2 linked regions of the Cricetulus griseus genome follow. The protein of the gene in region 2 interacts with the protein of the main gene of each other region in a pairwise test. Links are inferred from orthologs where the notes say so. Each region holds a gene or a part of one and is shown on either strand. Other genes may lie near its edges.

Region 1 (7,116 bases), on a different chromosome or scaffold from region 2:
AGGCTTGTCTGAGTCCCTTGCTCCCCTGGTAACCAGCTCCTAAGAGGACCAGGGTGTATAGACCTGAAAGACCACCTACTATAGTGGTTGGCGCATATCTTCAGAGTCTTATCCCTCCTCATGAGAAGGCGGATGGTCCCTTTCTCCTTATGCTTCAGGAGCTTGACATCACCAGTGCCTCGCTCCTTCCATTCTGGGAGGTCATTCTCTGAAGCAAACCGGAATAGCTTTGCTCGCCTGTAAGAAAAGCCAGTAAAGGAAACATTTAGACAGAGAGGGAACTCACACCTAGACCAATTACCCCAAAAGAATACATGTTTTCTGGATGCTGAACATAAGGGTACTGTTGGGACGCTTTTTCTAAGGCCTTTGGGCGCCAAGAATTACTAGTGAGAAAACACCACCCAGGGAAGCAAATAGCCTAGCACATTCCATGTTGCGTTTACTTCACAACCAGAAAGATATTCATAGCAGAAGCATTTTCCCCAGGAGAGGCATCTAAGGGCACACATGGCTCAAGAGTGGGTAATGAAGCTCCTGAGAGCTGGGTGACGCAGTCACACTACATGGGTGCCTTTTAGCTACACAAAGCCCAGCACCAGCTTCCTGTCAGGAGTAACCTTTATAGTCCCAGGGTTCAGGCACCTAGACCAGTAGAGTCCAGTGCTCCTGTTCCTCAAGCCAAGTCAATACCTTCCTTTGTAGCCCTCATCTGCTTCTCCTTCTCTGTCAAAGCCTCTGCTCTCCTCCAAACTCAAGTTTTGTCAAAGGAGCCTACATCTTCACCCAACTCCTTAATAGAAAAACCCAAAAGCCCTGATTGATGTAAGACCCAAGATTCTGGCCCCCAAAACACACCAAGGACCCTGCGCAGGAAATCAGGAGTCTTGCAGCACTGAACTGTCAAAAATCAAATACCACCTAACTCCAGGGATGCCGTCCTTGCCCAGTGCTGCAGAACAGCAATCTGGCTCATCATCTTCTGGGTACAAAGGTGTACTTATAGCTTTCCTTGAGCAGGGCTCCCTCCCCTATTTCAGAGCACATGAACCTTAATCTGACATTTTAGACATACCTGAAAGAGGGAGATGCCAGAGGCAGCAACACACAATCTTTGCTAGCATGTACCTGAACCCAGTGTCCAGCAATTCCGAGCACAGGCAACAACAAGCCAGTCTCTGCTGTGATGTGAAACTAGATACACGATAGCTCATGCTCAGCTATCTTGGGTGATGGCACAGGTCTGTAATCCCAGATATTAAGGAAGCTAAAGCAAGCAAATGGCAAGTTCAAGACCAGGTGTATAGAACTGGAAAGGTGGGGCCCGCTGGAGATATAGCTCACTATAGTATATGCCTAGCATGAGTTCAATCACTGGGCCAGTAGAACAAGACAACAGCAAAATCAAAGTTACTAAAATACTGCTACAGTTCCTCATTGAAGGTTCCAAGTGGCAAATACAAGGTAATCTTTAAAAAGCAATTTTGATAATTAAGCCACTTCTACTGGCATTTTGTGTAAGACACAGAACCAGGCACATGCAGACTACAGGTTTGAATGCGTGTGACCTTATGGTTTAGGCATTAACTTAATTTCCAAATTCATATTAATAATATTTAGAAGTGTCCTTTAGAAGGTCAAGAGGATTAGATGGAATCAAGAGGACTGAACAATGGCACTAGTGGGTATGTAAAAGACAGACTGAAATTAGCAAGTTCCTTGATTTTACTACATTATACACTGCCACATTAAGACATGACTGAGGCCCATACCAAATGCTAGCTCTATGCTCTCAGATCTCAGACTTCCTAACCTGCAAAACCATGAGCTGGAGGCTGGAGAGATGGCTCAGCTGTTAAGAGCACTGGCTGTTCTTCCAGAGGACCACATGGCAACTCAAAACTGTCTGTAACTCTAGTCCCCAGGGATCCGCTGCTTTCTTCTTGCCTCCTTGGGCACCAGGCTGCACATTGTGTAGAGACATCCATGTAGGCAAAACACCCATACACATATAAAAATTAAAAAAAAAAAAAAAAAACAAAAACAAAAAAACCAAACGAGAGCTAAACAAACCTGTTCTTTAAGGATACCCAGTTAAGGCAACAGAAAACAAAGCAGAAAGGAAGAAAAGGAAAGAAAGTTAAGATTCCCTGCTCAACAAAGGAAGGAAGCCCCCATCCCCCAAGAAAGGGTCTCATCATGTAGCCCTGGCTGTCCCTAGAACCCAGAGATGTATCTACTTCTGTCTCCCAAGTGCTGGGATTACAGGTGTGAACACCACAGCCTGCTGAAATGCTGATTCTTAGAGGCAAGGTGCAAGATCAACTGGGGAGACACCCAGGTGACAGAACAATGATGGGGACACCCTTTTCATGACTGGCCATTAGGAAGCACAGGCAGCAGGAAAAGGTTTGGCAGATGCATGGCTGAATTGTCAATGTAAGACTAGTCACCACACAACTCCAGACCTTTTCTTAAAACAGCCTTTATCAAACTGGGGCCAAGCCGTGAAATTCACAGGGATCATAAAGTGCCAGTCAACCCAGGGTTCTTCTGCAAAGTTCCAGACAGAGATCACAAAGAGGTTAATGCCATAGAGTACCACGAGGGCTTACACTCAAGCACAAGAGAAACAATATCCAGCAGAGCTCCTAGCTTGGCTGGCTGGCTCCTCCAGAAAGCAAAGAGGAGAACATGGTCCCACTGTGATTGTTGGGTTCTACAAGTTTTTAAAGAGATGCCCTGTGACCGGCTTCTTATTGGGCCATTTCTCTCTGTCTCATCAACCCATCTAAAGATACTTCCAGGGACACCTCAGCAGACTTACATCTTAAAGAGTTCCTCTTCATCTTCCTCCAGTGTTTTAATTTCTTGCTCAGGAAGAGAAACTATTGGCTCGAACTGGGGGTCATGGTTGGATTCATCTGCGTTTTCTGTGGAGGTATCGTGGTCCTCATGACTATCCTGTGCAGAGAGGGAAGGAGAGATAATGCAGCTGGCTGGTGAACTTGGCCCACAGTGGGCATCCATCATCAATCACAAATGGCACCTGGAAAATGAAGACAGGCCTCCCCTAAACTGGAAAATAAGTCTTCTGTCTTTGACATCACCAGTTTGCATTTACAGCATCACAAAAATCACAAGATACAAGATAGCATGCAACAAGACAATGGATTATAACACCCACCCTGCACATCCAAGCATCAATCAGTTCCACACACATACCACAGTCCATGGCAAAGTAGCTTGGGAGAAACTCCCTTTCTCCTCTGTAAATGATTTCAAACGGAAGAGCAACCTTAACAGTTTCTACTGAGGACTATCCAAGCACTTGTTAGTTTACTAGGAAGATAAACTGCTATGGGACTACTAGCATTTACATTCCTCCAGCAATTTTACACGCTTGGAAATTTAAGCTGAAAGAAGCTAAAAAAAAAAAAAAAGAAAAAAGAAAAGAAAGAAACTGACAAATAAGCCCTAAGATCCCGACCCAGCTTGAAGGATTGCAAGGGCATGCAGGTTTAAATCTGACAAGATCACGTGCTTTGATAATACAGAAAAAAACCCAGACTCACACTACCTAACTCCACAGGATAAAGACATAGAAGCCCTTCGTTCGGTTTCACAGCACTGCGGCTCCGCTGCGGCCGACACGCGAGCCACCAACAAAGCCGCCCCCGCCCTGAGTCCGCGCGTCTAATAATCTGTACCCCGCGCTGGAACGCGAGCTTCCGCCACCGAAGGAGGTGGCGGTTCCAGGCGTAATGACCGAATGAATGAAGGATCTGTGGGCAACTGGAAGAAGGGTTTCCCGATGCTGGTGGAAACATCACAAGGGGGCCAAGACGAAGGAAACCGGTTGCTGCCAGGCCCCCAGGCAAAGCCGAGAGCCCGGTGTGGTGATGGCTTCTCTTACGCACATCACAAGGTCACGCGCCGCCCCGCAGCCCCCGAGACCCGAGTCTTGGCCAGCAGCTCCCACTCCCGGAACCCAAAGACTTCGAGACCCCCAGGTCCCGGCGCCTCGACAGGCCCCGAACCCGCAGGCCAGCGAGGGTTGGCGGCCGAGGCGCGGGCCGCCCACGTGGCCGCCCATAGCGGCCCTTGCCTCCCGGCCTGCCGGGCCCCACCCGGGCCTCGCCGTACCTTGGCGGCCGCCATGGGGGCGCGGCGACGGCGGCTCGACTGGCTCAGGCGTCGCGGCTCGGCGGCCTCTGGGCGGGCTAGTCGCAGCTCCTTTTCCTCCGCGTCTGGCGCCGGCGTCTCCCGCCCGTCCTCTCTTCCCTCCGCCCCCCGACCCGAACCCTGACCCCTGACCCCAGCGGCGGGAAACGCGCCGTGATTCAAAACCACTGCAGCTTTATTGGCTCTGACGGCGGACATTCATTGTCCGGCCCACCCCGCGCTTCCCGCCAAAACGCCCGCGGCGCATGCCCGGCCGCGCCTCAACCTGGGGAGCGCGCTTTCCCGGCGACCCACGCGCGCACTTCCGTCGGCAAGCCCTAAATGTCTCTGACGTCAGTGTGAGCGGCTGGTGGAAGGATCAGTCAGGAGTCGGCGCGTGGCGGTGACGTCATCGGAAGCCGAGCCCTTCGAGAAGCCAGGCGCGGCTGGTGTGCACTGGCCTACTAGAGGAAGGCGAGGCGTGTGTCTCTCCCTTGCTTGTGGGCAGCGGATGGTGCATCACCAGTGCTCAGTGCTAGTTCTGAGCACCCGAGTTTTGAGTACCCTCTCCTGCGTAAGGAGAAGCTGGGGTATACCCTTACGGCGTCACACTTAATTCCTGAGCACTTCGTGTGTGAGACTTAGGTGGTGGCCCTCGTGAGCACCCTGGTCCGGGCGGCAGACGAGCCTGGCGATGAGTGAGAAGCCGGACACGGAAGTAAAGCAGAGGGAGAGAGATGCAGAAGATGTGAACCTGGTGGGGTTGGGTAGCAGTCATTAATGTTGGAACAGAGCTAGGGTGGGAGAAAGGAGCGGGTTTGGGCAGGGCTGGGGGTAGTGTGCTCTAATGTAGATCTGGCAGTGTGGTTTAGGGAGCTAGCCCAAGGCGATAGTCATGCTAGCTACAGCCCTCAGCCTGGCCCGTCTGTCCCCACACAGGCTCGGGAGCACATGGAGGGCTGCGGCCCAGATGCCAGTGCAGTACACAGCCCTGCAGTCCCAGAACGTCAGGAACAGTCTGGACCAGCTGCAGGGCCTGCAACTCAGCCTGGGCTCTACAGCTACATAAGAGATGATCTGTTCACCTCAGAGATCTTTAAACTGGAGCTGCAAAATGTGCCTCGCCATGCCAGCTTCAGTGATGTCCGGCGCTTTTTGGGCCGTTTTGGTCTACAATCCCACAAAATCAAACTCTTTGGACAACCACCATGTGCCTTTGTAACATTTCGCAGCGCTGCTGAACGAGACAAGGCCTTGCGAGTGCTGCACGGCGCTCTCTGGAAAGGCCGCCCACTCAGCGTGCGCCTGGCTCGACCCAAGGCTGACCCCATGGCTAGAAAGAGGCGGCAGGAAGGTGATGGTGAGCCATCAGTTACACAGATTGCCGACGTGGTGACCCCTCTTTGGACAGTACCCTACTCCGAGCAGCTGGAGCAGAAGCGGCAGGAATGTGAACGGGTGCTGCAGAAACTGGCCAAGTGAGTGTGGCACTGACGTCCCTACCAGAGCTGGGTTTTGCTCTTGGCCTACTCCACCACCCTTATAGTCTGTTCAGGACACCCACAGGGTCTAAGTCTGCGGTTCTCAGCCAATGGGTCATGTCCTCTTGGGGCCAGTCAAAAGGCCCTTTTACAGAGGTCATCTAAGACCACTGGAAAAGATATTTACAATTAGTAATAGTAGCAAAACTAGTTATAAAGTAGCCCCCAAAATCATTTTATGGTTAGGGTCACCACAACATAAGGAACTGTATCAGAGGATGGCAGCATTTGGAAGGTTGAGAACCACCTAGTCTAAGTGATCAACCAAGGAGCTAGTTAGTAGTGCCCCTATGGTACCAGTGGGATAAGTCTCAAAGGAACTGCCTCATGTGGGTGGGGAACGGTGTAACTCCAACCCCAACCATGATGTGCTTCATTCTACAGGGAAATTGGGAGCACTAACCGTGCCCTGCTACCCTGGCTGCTCACTCAGAGACAACGACACAATAAGGCTTGTTGCCCACTGGAGGGGGTCAGGCCATCACCCCAGCAGGTCAGGCTGTCTACAAAACTTCATTCTATTGCAAGGGGAGAGGGAGGTTGGCCTTGTTTAGTTTTGTCATGCAGTGCTGGGGTAAAACCCAAGGCATCACACATTAGGTATATACTTTAATGCTAGGCCAGTCCATCATCATCCTATTTTCTATAAACTTTCCTTATCCTCTTTGCCATTTTCTTGCTATTTTCTTCCTGGTATTAGACAAGCCAGCAGTAAAACCTTGTTTTGCCTGCCAACCCTATCAGGGTCTCTTGTTCACTACGGTGTTTCTTCTGGTGCTGGGCAATCGAAGTTGAGATCTGGCTGCCTCTTTGCCACCTTCTCTCCTGCAGACTGAATATCGTAATAAGTGTGAGTTTCTGGTCGGAGTTGGGATAGATGGAGAAGACAACACTGTTGGCTGCCGGTTTGGCAAGTACAAGGGTGGAACTTGTGCTGTGGCAGCCCCCTTTGACACTGTGCACATTCCAGAGGCCACTAAGCAGGTGGTGAAGGCCTTCCAGGAATTCATTCGGTGGGGACCTGGCCTGGGGATGGGTTCCTGGGAAGTCCTAATCCATCTGGGAGCAGAGGGTGTGGTGGGCCTTGCCTTGGCAGTTATGGGGTGAGAGGCAGGCTGCTGGGACAGACAGGCTCACACTAGGTACTAAAAGACACTTGTGGCTTCCTCAGGTCCACCCCATACTTGGCATATGACCCCGAGACATATACAGGCCACTGGAAACAGCTGACTGTTCGTACCAGCCGCAGAGGCCAGGCCATGGCCATTGTCTACTTCCACCCCCAGGTCTCAGGCAGTGGTCTTGTTGGGGGAGGTCTTGTTGGCTTTTGCTTAGTCTGATGGACTTTTTGTATTTTCTACTGCAGAAACTGAGCTCAGAGGAGATGGCAGGGCTGAAGGCCTCCCTGGTA
Region 2 (6,843 bases):
ACAGTTCTGGCTGCCATGTAGATACTAGGAATTGAGCTTGGGTCCTCTGGAAGAGCAGCCTGTGTTCTTAACTGCTCAGTCATCTCTCCAGACAGAAAACTTTTTTTTTTTTCAATTAGAAAGAGGGAGGGAGGGAGAGAGAGAATAGAAAACTCCATTTCATATGATTCTTTTTTTTTCTTTTAGTTTTTCAAGACAGGTTTTCTCTGTATATTTCTGGCTGTCCTGGAACTCACTCTATAGACCAGAGATCTGCCTGCCTCTGCCTCCTGAGTGCTGGGATTAACGGTGTGCTCCACTACTGTCTGGCTTCACATATTTCTTTTCTGAACTTAAAATTCATATTAACTTTTATCAAGTTCCCACCTAAGACCTGGCATGATGGTGTACATACATACACTAGTAGCCACGACTGCTCAGGAAGCTGAGGCAAGGGGATCATTTCAACCTAGGACATTGACTTAACCTGAGCAGCATGATAAGATCTAGTCTTTAAACAAAACAAAAATTCTAAGACTGGTGGCACATGCCTGTCTATAATCCATCACAGGGGAGGCCAGTGTGGACGGAAAACACTTGATACTTAACTCATACTTAAATTCATACTGGCTGGATGTGGTGATGTGCACCTTTGATTCCAACACTCGGGAGGCAGAGGCAGGTTGATCACCAAGCTCAGCACCAGCCTGGTCTACAGAGAGAGTTCTAAGCTATCCACAGCTACAAATTAAGAATGCCTAAAATGGGGCGGGGGTGGGGGCGTACAAAGACCTGTTTGTTTCATCATGCCTTCCACATCAATATATTATTTTACTTAACATTTAAAAGCCACATTTATATATTTGTATGTGTGTGTATGGGCATTTGAAGGTTAGAGGACAATATGTGGGACACTGTGTCCTGGACACCCCTGAACTCAGATTGCCAGGCTTGTTGATAAGTACCTTACCCACTGAGCCATATTGTGAGCCCACAATATTTTATTTTATTCTAAATTCTTCTTTTTCCACTCTTCTTTTTGTCACAGTGAGGGCACTGCATGGGAAACCATGGGAAATTGGGACAAACCCTTACGCTGTTTGCAGCTAATGCAAGGGCCTTTCCAGGCATTATGTCACTGGAGACTCTCACCAACCAAGATTGATAGGTGTGCCCAAATTCTGAACCCCAAAATCACCGAGACCCATTCCAATGCAAAAGCAAAGAGTCTTTTATTGTTTAACTAGTTAACTGTCTTAACTGGGTTCCCTCATCTATCCAACACAGTAGTTGGTCTGAGAAGGACCTGAAGGGGCCTCGAGGCAGGGAATTTATTGGGGAGAGCGACGGGAGTGTCTAAGGGTATGCAACAGTCTCAGGATTGGTGCACTTCCAGGCTTGGATGACCTATTCTGTGTTGATTGGTCAACGGGTTGTTATGGCCCTCCCAGGGCGGTTGCTATACTTTGTATGCCACTGTTATGCCACTTTTACTGTAAAGCATGTCCAGAGCCTACCAGCTAACTTCTGATTGGTTCCTTGCCACGTGGAGGGTATCTGACCTCCTAGTGACTAGCACAGTCTGGCAAGGTCAAACATGTACATGTGCTGAGTCAGAAGCCTACATCTTGCTGGGTCTTTTCTGCAGCCTGTCATGGCTGCTAAAGCAGGGCACTGGGTGAGGGTCTGGTCCCTTCAGTAGGGTTATCCTCTGTTAAAGGGGGAAACTGGAACAATCAGAGAGGGAGAGTGACATGTCCAGGGTCACACAGGAAACAGTGGATCTCAGCTGACTTGTTGAGTTTCTAATTCAAGCATTTGGGATGCTGAGGCAAGAGAATTACAAGTTCAAGAGCCAGGCTGGGCTATATAACGGGACTCTGTCAGAAGGAAGAGCAGAGGAAGGTTGATTAGGGGTCAGAGTGTTGAATCCAGGGTGTTTGTTGTCTCTACCAGCTAGCTAGCCTGCATCTCCTTGGATGAGGGGAAGTACCTAGGGACTCTATTGAAGTACAGTAAGGGGACTTTCCATAAAAATAGAAGCCTTGGGTGTGACTGGATAGGAACTGCTGACCTGGCATGAAGCGTGTCACTGTCCCCTCCTCTCTCCTTTTTCAGGGTGTATGCTGCCACCAAGTCCTGAGTCTGAACCAGACTAGAGTGGTGGTGGGAGCAATGTGTAGCCATGACCTAGAGCCAGGCAGGGCTTGTGGCAGAGGTTGAAATGATAAGGAGTGGCCCATCTGAGGCCCTCTGCTCTCCCTGGCCAACATGCCAAAGATTGTGCCCACATCCTGTCTGCTCCCTCCTCCCCGAGAGGCAGGAGTCTTCCATGTGGAAAAACACAGCTGGGCCTGGGTGAGCCCTGTGAGGGAGGAGGAAGGGCAGGGTGTGCCTCTCTGCTCAGGGCTGGCGTCTGTGGGCCCAGTTCTGGGGAAAGGCCAGATTGCATCAGACAGGACTTGAAGGGCGGGAGCCAGCCTGTGGTCTGAGGAGGAGACAGCTTTATAAGCAGGGGTGAGGGAACTGGGTGAGGGCAGACAGCTGGAAAACAAGACACAGGCAAGACTTTGGAGAAGGCAGAGCAGGGTGATGGCTACCTTGCCACCAACAACCAGCTCCTCCCAGCAACCCCTAAACCCAGAGGATGAAGATGACATCCTGGATGAGTATGACCAGTACAGCCTGGCCCATCCTTATATCGGTAGGCCTGCTGGGCAGCTCTTTGACTTCTCATCCTCCTCCTTGGATTTGGATTTTCTCTCCCAGATTGCCTTCTCTAACTAATCTGCTCCCTACCCCAAAGTAAACCCAATCTAGCCTCGTATACTGAGTTCTGTCCTCCTCAGCTCTGAGGGCTCGCTTCTAAGCATCTCTCATTCTATACATTAGTAAACAGCAGGGATAGAGTGCCCCAACCTCACAGGGCGACCACCAGCTGCCCTCTGGCTGTTCTGCCCTTCTCATCCCTATGCCCCAGGCATTTGTCTGTCCTCTGAACCTCACACCTCTCCTCTGCCCGTGTCCCTTCTACCTGTTGCTCCACCAGTCGGGGGAGGCCGGAAAGGTCGTACCAAGAGAGAAGCTGCCGCCAATACCAACCGCCCTAGCCCTGGTGGGCATGAGAGGAAGCTGCTGACCAAGTTCCAGAACTCTGAAAGGAAAAAGGCCTGGCGCTGAGGCAGAGCTGGAGGTGAGGAGTCACGAGCCAGAGAGCCAGTAAAAGTGGCTTTGCTTAGGGTGACAGGCCTAAGAGTGTAATTGAGTAGGAAGTGGGGAATCAAAAGCAAGCCCTGGGCTGGTGAGATGGCTCAGTAGGTAAAGGCACTTGCTGCCAGCAGTGACAACCTGTGCTAGACATCTGGGACCCACATGATGAAAGGGGAGAGAATCAATTGCAAGTTCTCCCCTTAGGAGGACCCTGCAGGTATCCAGGCAGGGAATCGAGCCTGAGAAGAGATGGGAACGAAAACCTAGTGCAGATCAACTTTGTCAACCTGGATCAGGCTTCAGAGAGGCTAATACCAGGCGGTTCACTGTCAGCCTATTTTAAGCTCTGTACAATTTGGGAAAAGGTTTCCACGCAACAATCAATCCAATCAGTTCAATTCCAGTTGCACAATAAAACTTAAAGCGTGACTCAGTAGAGACTCCTTTACAAAGTACATGTAACCATGAGGATGGGTTCTATAGCTAGAAGACCTAGAATCTAGTGTGATCTCTGACCAACAGCATAGAGGTCAGCAGGCTGTAAAGTACTTGTGACATCTCCCCCCAAGGATGGGTAATGGTCTAGGGAGGGAAGAGTCTGGGATAATCACTTTGGGGAATTAGGGTGAGGCCTGCCTCCTGGTCACCAGGTTGTTAACAAACCCACTCTCAGCTTTCTGGATGGAATGCAGGTATTTGATTTCATCTCCTCCATTGAGGAGACACCCTGTGTGATTAACATTCCTGGTTCTCTTAGTGCTTCTCTGGGAGTACAAGGACCATGCCCTCAACATCCTCTGACCTACCTCCACATGCTCACAGAGACCCAAGCATATGAGAATACTCATGTGTAGATACTCATGCATGCACACTCACATTCCAGTAAATAGAAAAAAAAAATAGGGTGTCATCTACAGCAAGAATGAGACCCGTATTTAACTCCGAGTTCCACTCTGATGACCAGAATGGGGGAAGTTTCCCATAGAGCCTTTCCAATTGGGAGGAAATTTGGCTTACAGAAAGGGAAACTGAATCTTAACAGAGTCAAGTACTTCACTTAGGCTACAGAAAAAATAAGTAGGGAAGCCAGAATTCAAACCCAGGTCTCTGCCCCTTCCACCACCTGCTTTCTCTCTCCACAGATGAGGCCAGACCACAGACATCACACCCAGCAATGGAAACAGGACAACCACACCCAGCAATGGATTAGGACCTTGGAGAGATTAGGAGATACAGGCAAAGACAGAGACCTGTTTGACTCTTTCCTACCTAAGTGAGGTTCTAGAGAAGGGACACCAAAAAAGCCCTTCTAGATCCAGCAAAAGGGCACGATCGGAGCAACAATCAGGGCAAGAATGGGGGAACTAGTACCCCCAAAAAGAAATGTGAGAGAAACCAGACATAAATTGGAGCGCACCTACACCCATTAGGTGAAGTGCTGGGTACCCCCACTGCCACTCACTGTTTTTCTTTGTATTGTCAGTAATGTATTGCCTTGTTGTGTGACCTCCAAAATTAGAGATTTTTAAGTCAACTAAGAGGAAACAAGGGCTGTAAGTTTAGTCTTGGATTGGACTATGAGCAGCAACAATAAACAGTATAACAGCGACAGCTTTCTTGTGTTTTGTGGTGTCATCTGTTTTGTGTCTGGATGTGTTCATGGAGTGTCTCTCTTGGGTATGTATTGGAATGGCAGTTTCCTTGTTGTGTAGGACTGGAGACTGAGCAGGTCCTGGTACTGGTACCTTTCTGTAATGTATGCAGATACTTTTGGGTGCCTCTTTCTGTGGTCTCTTTGTGGGAAACTATTTTGTTTCTTTGCATTGCTACCCCGGAGACAAACTGTGGCCAGCCCCTACACATTCTCGTACAGGATGAGGTCATATTTAGATAAAACTGCTTTTTTAAAAGAGAATGTTACTATTAATACCATTTGCAAAATGAAAAAAGAAACAACCAAAGATTTAAAACATGGGGAGTATTGGCTGGGAGGTAGAGGCACACGCCTTTAATCCTGACACTTGGGAAGCAGAGGCAGGTGAATCTCTCAGTTTGAAGCCAGCCTGGTCTACAGAGTGATTTCCAGGATGGCCAGAGTTACACAGAGAGATCCTGTCTCCAAAACAAAATAAACTAAACCAATAAACAAAAAAACATGGGGAGGATTTTTTTTTTTAAGTGGGTGAGGGTTCAAATCCAAGCATGTAATAACAGGCTGGCTTCCAGGACAGGGTTCCGGTCCACTGGGGTAAAGGTTCTTGGTGGTTCTCAGGACCAGAGTTCCAGGAGAGTGAAGCAAATGAGAAGATGGTCGGAACCAAGTGTTCAGTTACTGAGGTCTGAGTTAGGGCTGCTGTAATGACACTGAGACAAAACCAGGTAGAAAGTTCTCTCACACAGAATAGCTCCAAGAGTAAATATTCCTAAATTACAGATGGCAACTCTATTGTACTGGGGCTCCTGCTACTTTTAGCTTACTGTCTGCCACACTCCATACATTTCTACTCTGAAGCCCCAAATAGCTGCTTTAGTAGCTGCCATCACATCTGCATCTCAGCCTGTGGAAAGGCAGGAAAGAGGTTACAAGAAGCCACACATATTTTCCCCCTTTCTGAGACCGAGGATCTCTTTTTCAGGCTGGTCTCAAAACTCCTGGACTCCAGTGGTCCTCCAGCCTTGACTTCCCGGGTGCTGGGATTACAGGCATTTATCACCACTCCCATTTTCCCTACTCATTTTTAAGGGCCCCATTTGAAAGTAGAACATACAGTGCTTGCTCACAGTTTAGTCACATGCTGCACCCAACTTGAAGAGAAGCAGGAAATACCATACTTAGCTGTTCAGTCATGTGCTAACCCAAGCTTGGGTGCAGGCGGGTTTTATTAGAGGAAGGAGAGGGAGAATACTGAAAAAATGAACAAGAAGCATCACTTATACTCATCCCCGGCCAAAGTGAGAGGAAAGAGCCCTAGCTCCAGCCCTAGGCTGAGCCTTTGGCCCCTTCTCCACATAAACCCTACTTGCAGAGCTTGGAGTCCACTGCACTTAGGTAGGCCCAGTGGCTAGAGTACTTGCTGACTCATTGACATTCCAGAAGGCTGTGACCCAGCTGGGATTCTCAGGGACCATATTCAGTCACCTTCTGAGTCCAGCCCAACAACAGTCTCCCATGGAATCTGTCCCCGGCAGCATTAAAATACAAAAAGAAAACCTTCTGGCCTGGCTGGGCATAATGGAACACATCTTTAGTTCCAGCACTCAGAAGACAGAGGCAGGCGGCTTTGTGAGTTTGAGGCCAGCCTGATCTACATAGTGAGTTCCAGGCCAGCCAGGGCTCCATAGTGACAACCTGCCTTTTTTTTTCCTTTTTAAAGTAAGTAGTCTTGGCTATGCTGGAATTATGTAGACCAGTCAGACTTGAATTTATAAAGATCTACCAGCCTCTGCCTCCCTCTCTCAAGTGCAGGGGTTAACAGCATACACCACCATGCTTAGCCCAAATCATTTGCTGTTTTAAAATTTGCTGGTTGCCTGTTATTTTACAGGCAGGCCCGAAGCAGGCCCGAAGCACAGACTTTGGTGCTACTGTCTGCTCCAGAGCACAGTTGGCAGCAGCACACACCTATCTGGGTGTTGGCTTCAGTACCACAGCAA

The links.
Region 1: the proteins of Nupr1 (region 2) and Ranbp1 interact in a two-hybrid assay, tested with the Homo sapiens proteins (2 studies listed by BioGRID and IntAct). The link is inferred for Cricetulus griseus from reciprocal best matches to the Homo sapiens genes NUPR1 and RANBP1.

The regions. Positions count from the first base shown.
Region 1 is NC_048597.1:71,005,714-71,012,829, reverse strand, and holds the start of Ranbp1 (ran-specific GTPase-activating protein), read right to left. Parts: upstream 4,306-7,116; 5' UTR 4,162-4,305; coding exon 4,147-4,161; intron 2,965-4,146; coding exon 2,828-2,964; intron 238-2,827; coding exon 80-237; intron 1-79. Other genes in the region: Trmt2a (tRNA (uracil-5-)-methyltransferase homolog A), read left to right, coding at 4,859-4,921, 5,104-5,642, 6,090-6,198, 6,537-6,718, 6,877-6,991, 7,072-7,116. UniProt on the Homo sapiens protein: Plays a role in RAN-dependent nucleocytoplasmic transport. Alleviates the TNPO1-dependent inhibition of RAN GTPase activity and mediates the dissociation of RAN from proteins involved in transport into the nucleus.
Region 2 is NC_048596.1:74,154,209-74,161,051, forward strand, and holds Nupr1 (nuclear protein 1), read left to right. Parts: upstream 1-2,483; 5' UTR 2,484-2,571; coding exon 2,572-2,683; intron 2,684-3,028; coding exon 3,029-3,159; 3' UTR 3,160-3,172; intron 3,173-4,331; 3' UTR 4,332-4,559; downstream 4,560-6,843. UniProt on the Homo sapiens protein: Transcription regulator that converts stress signals into a program of gene expression that empowers cells with resistance to the stress induced by a change in their microenvironment.